Arabidopsis thaliana: one gene and its partner. The protein of the gene in region 1 interacts with the protein of each later gene in a pairwise test. Each region holds a gene or a part of one and is shown on either strand. Other genes may lie near its edges. The genes, in order: NRP1 and HON4.

What was found.
Region 2: the proteins of NRP1 (region 1) and HON4 interact in a two-hybrid assay, tested with the Arabidopsis thaliana proteins (one study listed by BioGRID).

What each region holds. Positions count from the first base shown.
Region 1 is NC_003070.9:28,017,084-28,022,347, reverse strand, and holds NRP1 (NAP1-related protein 1), read left to right. Parts: upstream 1-2,298; 5' UTR 2,299-2,447; coding exon 2,448-2,576; intron 2,577-3,041; coding exon 3,042-3,164; intron 3,165-3,247; coding exon 3,248-3,298; intron 3,299-3,429; coding exon 3,430-3,501; intron 3,502-3,621; coding exon 3,622-3,735; intron 3,736-3,817; coding exon 3,818-3,882; intron 3,883-3,997; coding exon 3,998-4,061; intron 4,062-4,153; coding exon 4,154-4,182; coding exon of another isoform or gene 4,183-4,210; intron 4,211-4,297; coding exon 4,298-4,345; intron 4,346-4,485; coding exon 4,486-4,585; 3' UTR 4,586-4,764; downstream 4,765-5,264. Other genes in the region: AT1G74580 (Pentatricopeptide repeat (PPR) superfamily protein), read right to left, coding at 1-1,571; CYP98A9 (cytochrome P450, family 98, subfamily A, polypeptide 9), read right to left, coding at 4,799-5,264. UniProt on the Arabidopsis thaliana protein: Acts as a histone H2A/H2B chaperone in nucleosome assembly, playing a critical role for the correct expression of genes involved in root proliferation and patterning.
Region 2 is NC_003074.8:6,168,190-6,173,852, reverse strand, and holds HON4 (winged-helix DNA-binding transcription factor family protein), read left to right. Parts: upstream 1-1,847; 5' UTR 1,848-2,294; coding exon 2,295-2,504; intron 2,505-2,590; coding exon 2,591-3,472; coding exon of another isoform or gene 3,473-3,544; exon of another isoform or gene 3,545-3,927; intron 3,928-4,015; coding exon 4,016-4,081; intron 4,082-4,184; coding exon 4,185-4,469; 3' UTR 4,470-4,890; downstream 4,891-5,663. Other genes in the region: HAL3A (HAL3-like protein A), read left to right, coding at 5,224-5,559.

The DNA of each region.
Region 1 (5,264 bases):
TCCACCATAGTTTTATATGTTTCCATCACATCTTCAAACTTTGAAGTTTTGCAGAGACCATTTAACAAAGAGTTGTAAGTGTACACGTCAGGATCAACACCGTTGTCCAACATAACATCTAATATCTCAAGTGCGTTTTCCATTTTCAACTGTGTAGAATAACCATGAATCAAAATGTTGAAAGTAAATATGTCAGGAAAGTACCCTTTGGAGATCATGACTTTAACAAGACCATCAGCATCAGAAACACATCCCATCTTGCATAGTCCATTTACGAGTATGTTAAAAGTCTGTACCTCAGGAATCAAACCCTTTTCAGACATTTCATTCGCCAACTGAGCAGCCTCTAGAATCATACCCTGGTTAGACAATCCCTTGATCAGTGTGTTGTAAAGAATAACGTTAGGCTTTATCCCTTTCCCTAAGGCCTCATTAAATAAAGCTAAAGCACGGTTTGTTTCACCTTCATGACACAACCCGTCAATTAAGGAGCGATATGTGAACTGATCAGGCACAAATCCATTGAAAACAGCATCACCTACAATCCTTTCTGCAAGTTGTACCATCCCACCTTTGCAATATCCAGCTATTAGTGTGTTATAGGTATAACTATCAGGCTCAAGCCCTTCATTCACCATTTTCCCCAAGTAAACCTCTGCCTCCTGAAACTTGGAATTCTTACATAAGCCATATATAAGATTGTTATACGTGATGACATCAGGTTTGGGTCCCTGTTCTATGAGACAACCTACCATACGAACCGCACCATCAAGCTCACCTCTCTGACAAAGCCCTTGAATGAATAAATTATAAGTAAACAGATTCGGTAAAACACCTCTTTTGATAACCTTATCAAGTAGTTTTTCACACTCCTTAACATCTCCTTTCTTGCAAAGAACACGTAGAAGCTTGTTGAACGTACTAAGACAAAGCGAAACACCCGATGCAAGCATCTTCCCAAACAACTCATATCCCTCAGCCTTAAAATTCTCCTCATAAAACCCACCAACCACAGTACAATAAGCAACCACATTCATCTCACAGCCTTGAGAAGACATATTATTAAGAAGCCTCAAAGCAGCGTGAGGCCGACTGGTCTTACAAAACGACTTCATCCTAATCGTAAACGAGTAAACATCAGGCGTAATACCTCTATCCCGCATCCTCATATACACCTTGTGAGCTTGATCAAAGTAACCACTATCAACCAATACACTCATAATAGCATTATAAGAGAAAACCGTAGGCTCACAATCATAAAAATCCATCCTTTCAAACACATTAACAGCTTCTTGAACTTTCCCTTTCCTACCATAATTCTTCATTGCCCCAACATAAACCCCTTCAAGCATATGGTTACCAACATTCTCCCGCATATCCACTAAAACCTCTTCCATGGCTTCGAATTTTCCATAATATCCAAGCTTTTCGATGACACTGCGGTAAGTAGATAAAGTATGCTTGAAACCAACCTCTTTTCTCATCGAATTGAACATTTCTAGAGCTTTCATAGGATCCTTCTGACATTTTATAACTGCAGTTACATGTTTCGGAAGCAGAGGAGGACCCATAAAGGAGAATAATCGTAACCTAATGAAAATACTTTGAATCCCTAAAATCCAGATACGAGAGAAATAGCAAAGAAGACAGAAGAACCCTAGACAATTCTCAGCGGAGAGAATAAAATCGAGAAAAAGGTAGATCCTTTCTCAATGAGGAGACTCAGAAAACAACTGGAGAAATCAATTACAATGGATGAAAGTAAAGTTCACTGATGAGCTTCAACGGCTACAACGCTGGGAGTAGTAAACCCATCGCACTCGGCGAAGAAGCGCGTAGGAATAATTTGAATAAATAATTATGTTTTCTTTCTAGAACACAAAAGTTGATATGGCCGAGTTGGTCTAAGGCGCCAGATTAAGGTTCTGGTCCGAAAGGGCGTGGGTTCAAATCCCACTGTCAACATTTCCTTTTTTTTTTTGTTTTTTTCTTCTCAAATTGTTTTATTTTAAAGTGGATATATTTTGTCAAGTTATAATATTTTAGAGCAATAATGTTTTAGTGGTCCTGAAGTAAAATCATACGACACAAAAAGGGAAAAATTAAATGACTTAATCCGCTTTTATTAAATCAACTATTTTAATAGGATAACTTAAAAAAGCAAGTGAAGAGAAAATTCTAAAGTACCCTAATATTGATTTTTAAATTGACTAATATACCCTTATTTGCTTCAGCTGGCGCAACCTGATTGGTCCACATAAACCCCTCAAAACCCTAAGTTCCCTTTTGCCCACTCTCACACTTCACAAGCATAAACTCTCATCGGGAGCTAGGGTTTTAGCTGATTCTCTTGTGACGGAACCACAAGAAGAGAAGAGACCAAAAGGAGGAGCCAAAATCCTCTCTTTCTTTGGAATTAGGGTTTCCTCAAAGGAAGTGAACTGAAAATGGTCGCGGACAAGAGCAAGAAGTCGAAAATTGAAGAGAAAGGCGAAGAAGAAAACTTGGAGCAAATCGACGCAGAGCTTGTTCTCTCAATTGAGAAGCTTCAGGAGATTCAAGACGACCTCGAGAAGGTTAAAAAATCTCCTCTTTCACTTTTCGTTAATTTGCTCTGATTCTCCAGATTTTTCCCCTTTTTCTTAACCGGTGTCATGTGCTCTGTATCCTGGTAAAGTTGAATGGATTCCAATTTTGATTTTTATGGTACAGATTTTACTTTAATGTTCATATGTAGCTGGATTTGAATGAAGGATCGTCTTTTTGTATTGTTGCTACAGTAGTGATAGTTGTGTATTCGTACAATGCAATTTGAGAACATGTTGTGTGATTTCTGCTTATTTATAATTTAATTCATGTGACTGCTCTCTGTAATTACTCCTCCAATAGCTATAGAGAAGTTAGTGGAAAGAGTACTGTTTGAGAAGTTAAAGCTCAAACAATTGCATATCATTAACTCATAAGTACAGTTAGAATTGACATGAACTCTAATGAGTGTTTTTTTCTTCTTCTTTCTCCTAACTCTGGTTTGTTGGTTATAGATTAACGAAAAGGCCAGTGACGAGGTCTTGGAAGTAGAGCAGAAATATAACGTGATACGGAAACCTGTCTATGACAAGCGCAATGAAGTTATCCAATCGATTCCTGGCTTTTGGATGACTGCTGTAAGTGTTTATAGGTTGTTTTCAGTTACTGTTTTTAAACATCTACTACTTATTGACCAATGACCATTACACATTCTTTGCAGTTTTTGAGTCATCCTGCCTTAGGCGACCTCTTGACTGAAGAAGACCAAAAGGTTTGAGTTATCTTTCGGCATGTTTTCCAGATTATAATGCCGATAAGGCGATAACTATCCGATTGGCATTCATTTTTTCTGTACAGTTACATTACTTTTTACCAATTCATTTGATTTCCCTGTTTTTACAGATTTTTAAGTACTTGAACTCTCTGGAAGTGGAGGATGCCAAAGATGTGAAATCTGGATACTCTATAACTTTTGTATGTTTCTTTATCCAGCTCATTTTTCTAATCTGTTGTTATTGTCTTCTCATATTGATCTGAGAAGATTACTGGGTTTTGTTGTTATTTAACTTGTTAAATTGGGGGTATCAATCGCAGCACTTCACTTCAAACCCGTTCTTTGAGGATGCCAAGCTTACCAAGACATTTACTTTCCTTGAAGAAGGAACAACAAAAATCACTGCAACTCCTATCAAATGGAAGGAGGGCAAGGTAAATATAAACAGATAATAAGTTTCTTACTTTATTTGTCTCTCTTCGGCGTTATTTTTAATGATGTTTCTCAATAATGTAGGGCTTGCCAAATGGAGTGAACCATGATGATAAGAAAGGAAATAAACGTGCATTGCCAGAGGAGAGGTATTGTTCTAGACCCCATTAAGTGATCATATTCTTAGTGAAATTCTTGTGGTCATGAATATATGATGAATATGATACAAAAAGTTAAATTCTTTCCATTTAACTTTCTCTTCAGTTTCTTTACTTGGTTTACTGATGCTCAACATAAGGAAGATGCTGGGGATGAGATTCATGATGAGGTACATACTCATCTACTTTCTGACTTGTTATACGTTATAGACCGTTTTTATTATCTGCCCAATTTGAACTCCGAAATCTTCTCTCGGAGCAGGTTGCTGATATTATCAAGGAAGATCTCTGGTCCAACCCTCTCACCTACTTCAACAATGTAAACTATTTATCATTTCACTTTCAATCTTGAATCCTCTTTCTGTAGAGGTAATAAGTTGCTTAAAGATTTTGTTGATGTATGTAGGATGCTGATGAAGAGGATTTTGATGGAGATGATGATGGTGACGAAGAGGTAAAACAATTGTCTCATTGCTCCTCAAAATACATTGATTAATTGAGTATCAGTCTGGACATTGTTATTATGAGTCACATGTTTTGTTACTGTGCACCATCTCTTAACCTTGAAAATCTTTGAAACCATAATCTCTTCAGGGAGAAGAAGACGATGACGATGAAGAGGAGGAAGATGGTGAGGAATGATGGGAGCCCAAAGATAACACATTGCTGGCTTGCTTCTATAACAGATGTGTAAAGTTTGTGTTATGAGGTTCTCAATTTTAGCAATGATGAGACTAAGCTTTCTCTTTTGGAATATTTAGTTTATTTACTATCAATAGCTACATTCTGTTTGTACGAACCATGTCATCATCCATGTCCTAAATCTTGCCATAACTACATCTGTTTTTCGCAATTGAGAATCTCTCTTTATCTTATGTTGATTAATATAATCTATCTCAGTTAAAAGTTAAAGGTATAACTCTTGTGGCAGCCTGGACGAAGCTAGAGCCTGCAATGGAGCCTTCATGTAACAAACTAATCCAGGCTTCTCGGTCATGTCAATGTGTTCTCGAGGTGTAGAGGATGTCCATGAGAAACAATGCAACAAACTACCTAGTGCTAATGTCATCATATTGAGGCTGAGTTGAGCGGCTGGACACACCCGTCTTCCCGACCCAAACGGAAGAACCCGAAAGTCTTGACCTTTAACGTCCGTTTCCTCCACAAGAAACCTCTCTGGTCTAAACTCATCTGGGTTACTCCAGTTTGCAGGATCTCGAGCAATCGCCTGCACGTTGACATAAACCGTGGCTCCCTTAGGAACTTTGTACCCACCTACCTGAACTGATTCGCTGGCCTTGTGTGGAAGCATCAATGGTGTTGGAGGGTGAAGCCGGAGAGCTTCTTTGAGTACGCATTGCAGAAACGGCAGT
Region 2 (5,663 bases), on another chromosome or scaffold:
CGTCTCCGGTCGTGTGTGACTCGAGAGGACCCAACCAAATATGCAAAAACATTTAAATAAAAAACATAAACAAATCATTTCAAATTCGAGAGAAAAATAAAAGGGTCTTAAAACTGTTAATTATGCAACAGATAGGCCCATGTAATGTTGAGGTCCATCACATAAGTAAACATTATATTGAAGGCTGATAATTCGGCCCGTTAAAAGTGTTGTTTATAAGAGGTTGTGTGTACTGTGTAGTGTGACATATCAGAGGCGACAAAACATATCATAATCTTTTGTTTTGTTGGAATTCTGGTGTGGTGATCGTCTTTTGTCATCTGCTTACTTGGTGTCTGGTGATTGTGTCTTCTGATCGTCTATTACCAGCCGCACTTTGTTTGACCCTTGCTTGAAAGTATTCGAGCACACGCATGCACACATCACAACACAGATATATTAGTATTAAAAGAATGAGCATACATAAATTGTTGTATGAAAACGACACGACTCAGGTGATACTTGGAGTTTGAATGATGAGCATATATCGGGTTTTACTTGCGCTTAATGCATAAGCATAAACGTACTGTACTCTTTATAATATCGTATTGTAATGTCAGTAATATGTACCAACAATTCTCTTGTTGGATGATTCTTTTTGGGTACCGTGATGTATGGGCTGGCTTTACCAAGGAGATAGGTGTGACACTTGTTCCCCCATAGATTTATCAATTGTTCTTAGTCCCATTGATTTTATTTGAGATTTGCTACTTCAAAATTCAAATGGTGAAATCTATCCAACTACCCTTTTGAATCCACACATATAATACACAAAAGTTCATTAAACAATATTAAAATGTCAAATGAAAAAAAAAGTTCTTCTAAAAAAAAAAAAAAAACATTAACTATATGTAAAACCACTAAATATCTTTAAAATTATCGCTCACTTTGTATCCTTTACATTACCCGTTAAAAATGCTTGTTTGTTATAAATTTTGCATTAAACAATTATAAATTCTAGTTTTTCATATTTTAAATTTTCTTAAATTCATCGTTCACTATTTATCATTTTTATTATAATGTTTAAATAAATAACGCTTCTTTGTACAAAACAAATTAAAATTTGCAATCAATACTTACTAATTGCATGTTTTTCCATATTTTGAAAATTTTAAAACTTATCTTTCATCATTTAATATTTCAATTATTCTTTTAAATATATCACGCTTATTTGTGATACAAGACAAAAGAAAAATGTATTTAGCACTTGGTAAATATATTTTTCCATATTTTATTTTTTTCATAAAGTTATCTTTCATCATCTATAATAAGAGGTTTACATTTATTTGTTATTTTTGTTTTACGTCGTACATTTATATATATATATATAGATATATATATATATATATATCAAATATTTTGTTAAAATGCAACTAAAGTTAAAATTTAATTCAAATGTAAATATCATACATTACTGTTTAAAAATATTTTAATGTCTTGTAATTTTTCCTTAATGAAAAACATATTTGATGTATCATTTTGTGATTAAGTTAAAGGGTCGCAAATAGATATATACTCTAACAAAATTCACAGAAAATATAAATTTGAAACTAAATTTTATGTAAATGTATCGATTTCAAATCCTAAACAGAGGACATAGAAGTTAGTAATTGCATTTGTTTTGCCATACTCATCTCAATACATCTCTTACTTATCATACACTCTTTAATGGAGTTTGTTACATGGGTTACTTAATGTAACAGTGTTTGCTATATACTTCATTCGATGTTATTCTAAAATCAACAAAATTGTTTTACACTGAAAGCGAGGAGTTCTTTTCAGAAAAATAATTTAAAATTTTGGCGGTCCATTTTTAAAATTTTGGTGATTTTTTATTACATTGGAGCGAAAATGTAGCAAAATTCTAAGAGGCAAAAATGAAAAAAATCAAAGTAAAGAAACACAAAATCCTTAAAATAAAAGACAAAATGATATGACACGTCATCGATCCTCGTCAAAACCGTCGATAGAAAACAAATCAACGGTTAGATTTAATAGTAATCTTTCTTCTCATCCTTTCGTCTCTACTCCTCCGCCTCTCTCTCCCCAACCTAACTTTATTTATTTCTCTCACAAAAATTTTATTTTCACAAAAACAAAAAAATCAAAAGAGCTCTCAGAGCAAAAAACAAAAAAAAAGAAAAAAAAACCCTAAATCTAAATCTCACCTTCCACCTCTGTCTTTTTTTTTTTTGTTCTTTTTTTTTTTTTTACTGTATCTTCTCTTCTCTTTGCTCTGCAAAAATCTCACATCCATGGATCCATCTCTTGGTGATCCTCATCATCCTCCTCAGTTCACCCCTTTTCCTCATTTTCCCACCTCCAATCATCATCCTTTAGGACCAAATCCGTACAATAACCATGTCGTCTTCCAACCGCAGCCGCAAACGCAAACGCAAATCCCGCAACCGCAGATGTTTCAGTTATCTCCACATGTTTCAATGCCCCACCCTCCTTACTCCGAAGTAAGTTCAATCTTAAAAGCCTCTTCCTTTATAACTAAATTCAGTTACTTTTTTTTTTGTTACTAATTTTTTTTTTCTGTGTGTAGATGATTTGCGCTGCGATTGCGGCGTTAAACGAACCGGATGGTTCGAGCAAGATGGCAATTTCGAGATACATCGAGAGATGTTACACCGGTTTAACTTCTGCTCATGCTGCTTTGTTGACTCACCATCTCAAGACTTTGAAGACCAGTGGTGTTCTTTCTATGGTTAAGAAATCTTACAAAATTGCTGGTTCTTCTACTCCTCCTGCTAGTGTAGCTGTTGCTGCTGCTGCCGCCGCTCAAGGTCTCGATGTTCCCAGATCTGAGATTCTCCATTCAAGTAACAACGATCCCATGGCTTCTGGCTCTGCTTCTCAGCCTCTGAAACGAGGTCGTGGTCGTCCTCCTAAGCCTAAACCTGAATCTCAACCACAACCACTACAGCAACTTCCACCGACCAATCAAGTCCAGGCTAACGGACAGCCAATCTGGGAACAGCAGCAAGTTCAATCACCTGTTCCGGTTCCGACTCCGGTTACAGAGTCGGCGAAGAGAGGACCTGGTCGTCCAAGGAAGAACGGTTCTGCTGCTCCTGCTACTGCACCAATCGTTCAAGCTTCGGTTATGGCTGGAATTATGAAACGTAGAGGTAGACCACCGGGTCGTCGAGCTGCTGGGAGACAGAGGAAGCCCAAATCCGTTTCTTCTACTGCCTCTGTGTATCCTTATGTTGCTAATGGTGCTAGACGCAGAGGAAGGCCTAGGAGAGTTGTTGACCCTAGCAGTATTGTTAGTGTTGCTCCAGTAGGTGGTGAAAATGTGGCAGCGGTTGCGCCAGGGATGAAGCGTGGACGTGGACGACCACCTAAGATTGGTGGTGTTATCAGTAGGCTTATTATGAAGCCTAAGAGAGGACGAGGACGTCCTGTAGGTAGACCCAGAAAGGTAAATTTTCACATCCCCCAATTCTGTATTCGTGATCTCGATTTTGCAATATCTGACGTTTACTGTGCATGATTGTTCACTGCTCCGCCGTCAATTTAGATTGATAAAGTTTGATACTTGTGTTGCAATCATTGTGGAATTCAAACTCAATGTCACTTTCCGCTTTTGAGCATTGTTGTCTGTTTTCGCGTATCCAAAATCTGACTAGTATCTAGTGTTTTTATTATATTTTCGTGTCCCTTACTTTTGGCTTATCCTTATCTGGTTTCTCTGTTTTATTTTAATTTTCGTTTGGATAATTAAGACCAAAATAGTCGGTAATGTATCGCTATAGCTAGGAATAATTTTATCATCAATTAGTGTGTTAATCCGGCTTAATGGTTTCTAAGTCATCACATAGTGTCTTCTTCTCTGTATCTTCTATTTTACTAGTAACGTGTTCAATTGGATCTAAAGTAAGACTTCTTAATTTAACCATTAATGTCTTTCTTGAATATGTTATACTTTTATCCAACAATTTTATTTTTTGGTTCATGAACCTAGATTGGAACATCAGTCACGACTGGGACACAAGATTCTGGAGAACTCAAGAAGAAGTTTGATATTTTTGTAAGTCTACTTGTTGACAATAAACAGTTTGGCTGTCCTTTATTTGATTAAAGTATTCGATTCTACTTGCTTATGTTTGGTTTTTGTATGTAAATGATTTCAGCAAGAGAAAGTGAAAGAAATTGTGAAGGTGTTGAAGGATGGAGTTACAAGTGAGAATCAAGCAGTGGTGCAAGCCATAAAAGATCTGGAAGCACTAACAGTGACGGAGACCGTTGAGCCACAAGTTATGGAAGAAGTGCAGCCAGAGGAGACTGCAGCACCACAGACTGAAGCTCAACAAACTGAAGCTGCTGAGACACAAGGAGGACAAGAAGAAGGACAAGAAAGAGAAGGAGAAACACAGACCCAGACAGAAGCAGAGGCAATGCAAGAAGCTCTGTTCTGAAGAATAATAATGATCTAGAAAACAACCTAGACATAATAGCCTTGGTGTTTGGCGTTAGGAGTGTTTTTTTTTAGTTGTTTTAGGTGTTGGAATCGCATCTTAAATTATATAAAAATCTATAAGGAATTTTAATTTTTCTAGGTTTTGTTGTCTGCAGAAGAAGAAATAGTAGACTCGTTAATGGTGTTGTTGTCGGTGTGTCTTTAACCAAACCATAAGACGTGGCTGTAAATTAGCGATGTTTCTAGTCTTCCATCTTTAATAATCTCTTATTGCGTCTGTGCCTTTGTTTTTTTCAATCTGTCTTCTGCTCTCTGCTTCCGCTTTGCACATTGTGGAGATGTTTTCGTGTCTATTTTCCACCCAACGGTTTTAGCAGGTCGACTCTTACTTAATTTCTTACTAATAATATCTTCATTTCCATCTCACGTTGGCTCAAAAAGCTATATAACTTTGACTCGAAAACATGTTAGAGTTAACACAACAGTCGAACTCAGAATCGAAATTGCAGTCCAAACGAAGTAAATATAAAATGAAATATATCGATATTCACAGCCCATACGACCGAGGCCTAAAAAAGAGTGAGTCAATGGCCCATTTGACCAGCAACTAAAATGATTGTCCTCTCGGGCCTCTCTCTTTCTCTTCCCTCTAAAACATTTTGATATTCTCTTCGACCAGATCAATTTTTCGGTTAGGGTTCTTCGCCGAACCATTGGCTACTTTGCTAGATCTCTGAAGGTGTAAAAGAGCTATGGAGAATGGGAAAAGAGACAGACAAGACATGGAAGTGAATACCACACCGAGGAAGCCTCGTGTACTACTCGCTGCAAGTGGAAGCGTCGCTGCTATCAAATTCGGCAATCTCTGCCATTGCTTCACCGAATGGGCAGAAGTCAGAGCCGTCGTTACGAAATCATCTCTACATTTCCTCGATAAACTCTCTCTCCCACAAGAAGTGACTCTGTATACTGATGAAGATGAATGGTCTAGCTGGAACAAGATCGGTGATCCTGTCCTTCACATCGAGCTTAGACGTTGGGCTGATGTTTTAGTCATTGCTCCTTTGTCTGCTAACACCTTAGGCAAGGTAATTTAACAAATCGACGAAAACCCTAAACCAACTACTTAGATTCAATTGTGTGACTTGTGAAAACATTCATGGAGGATTCAATTCATACAATATATTTTTGT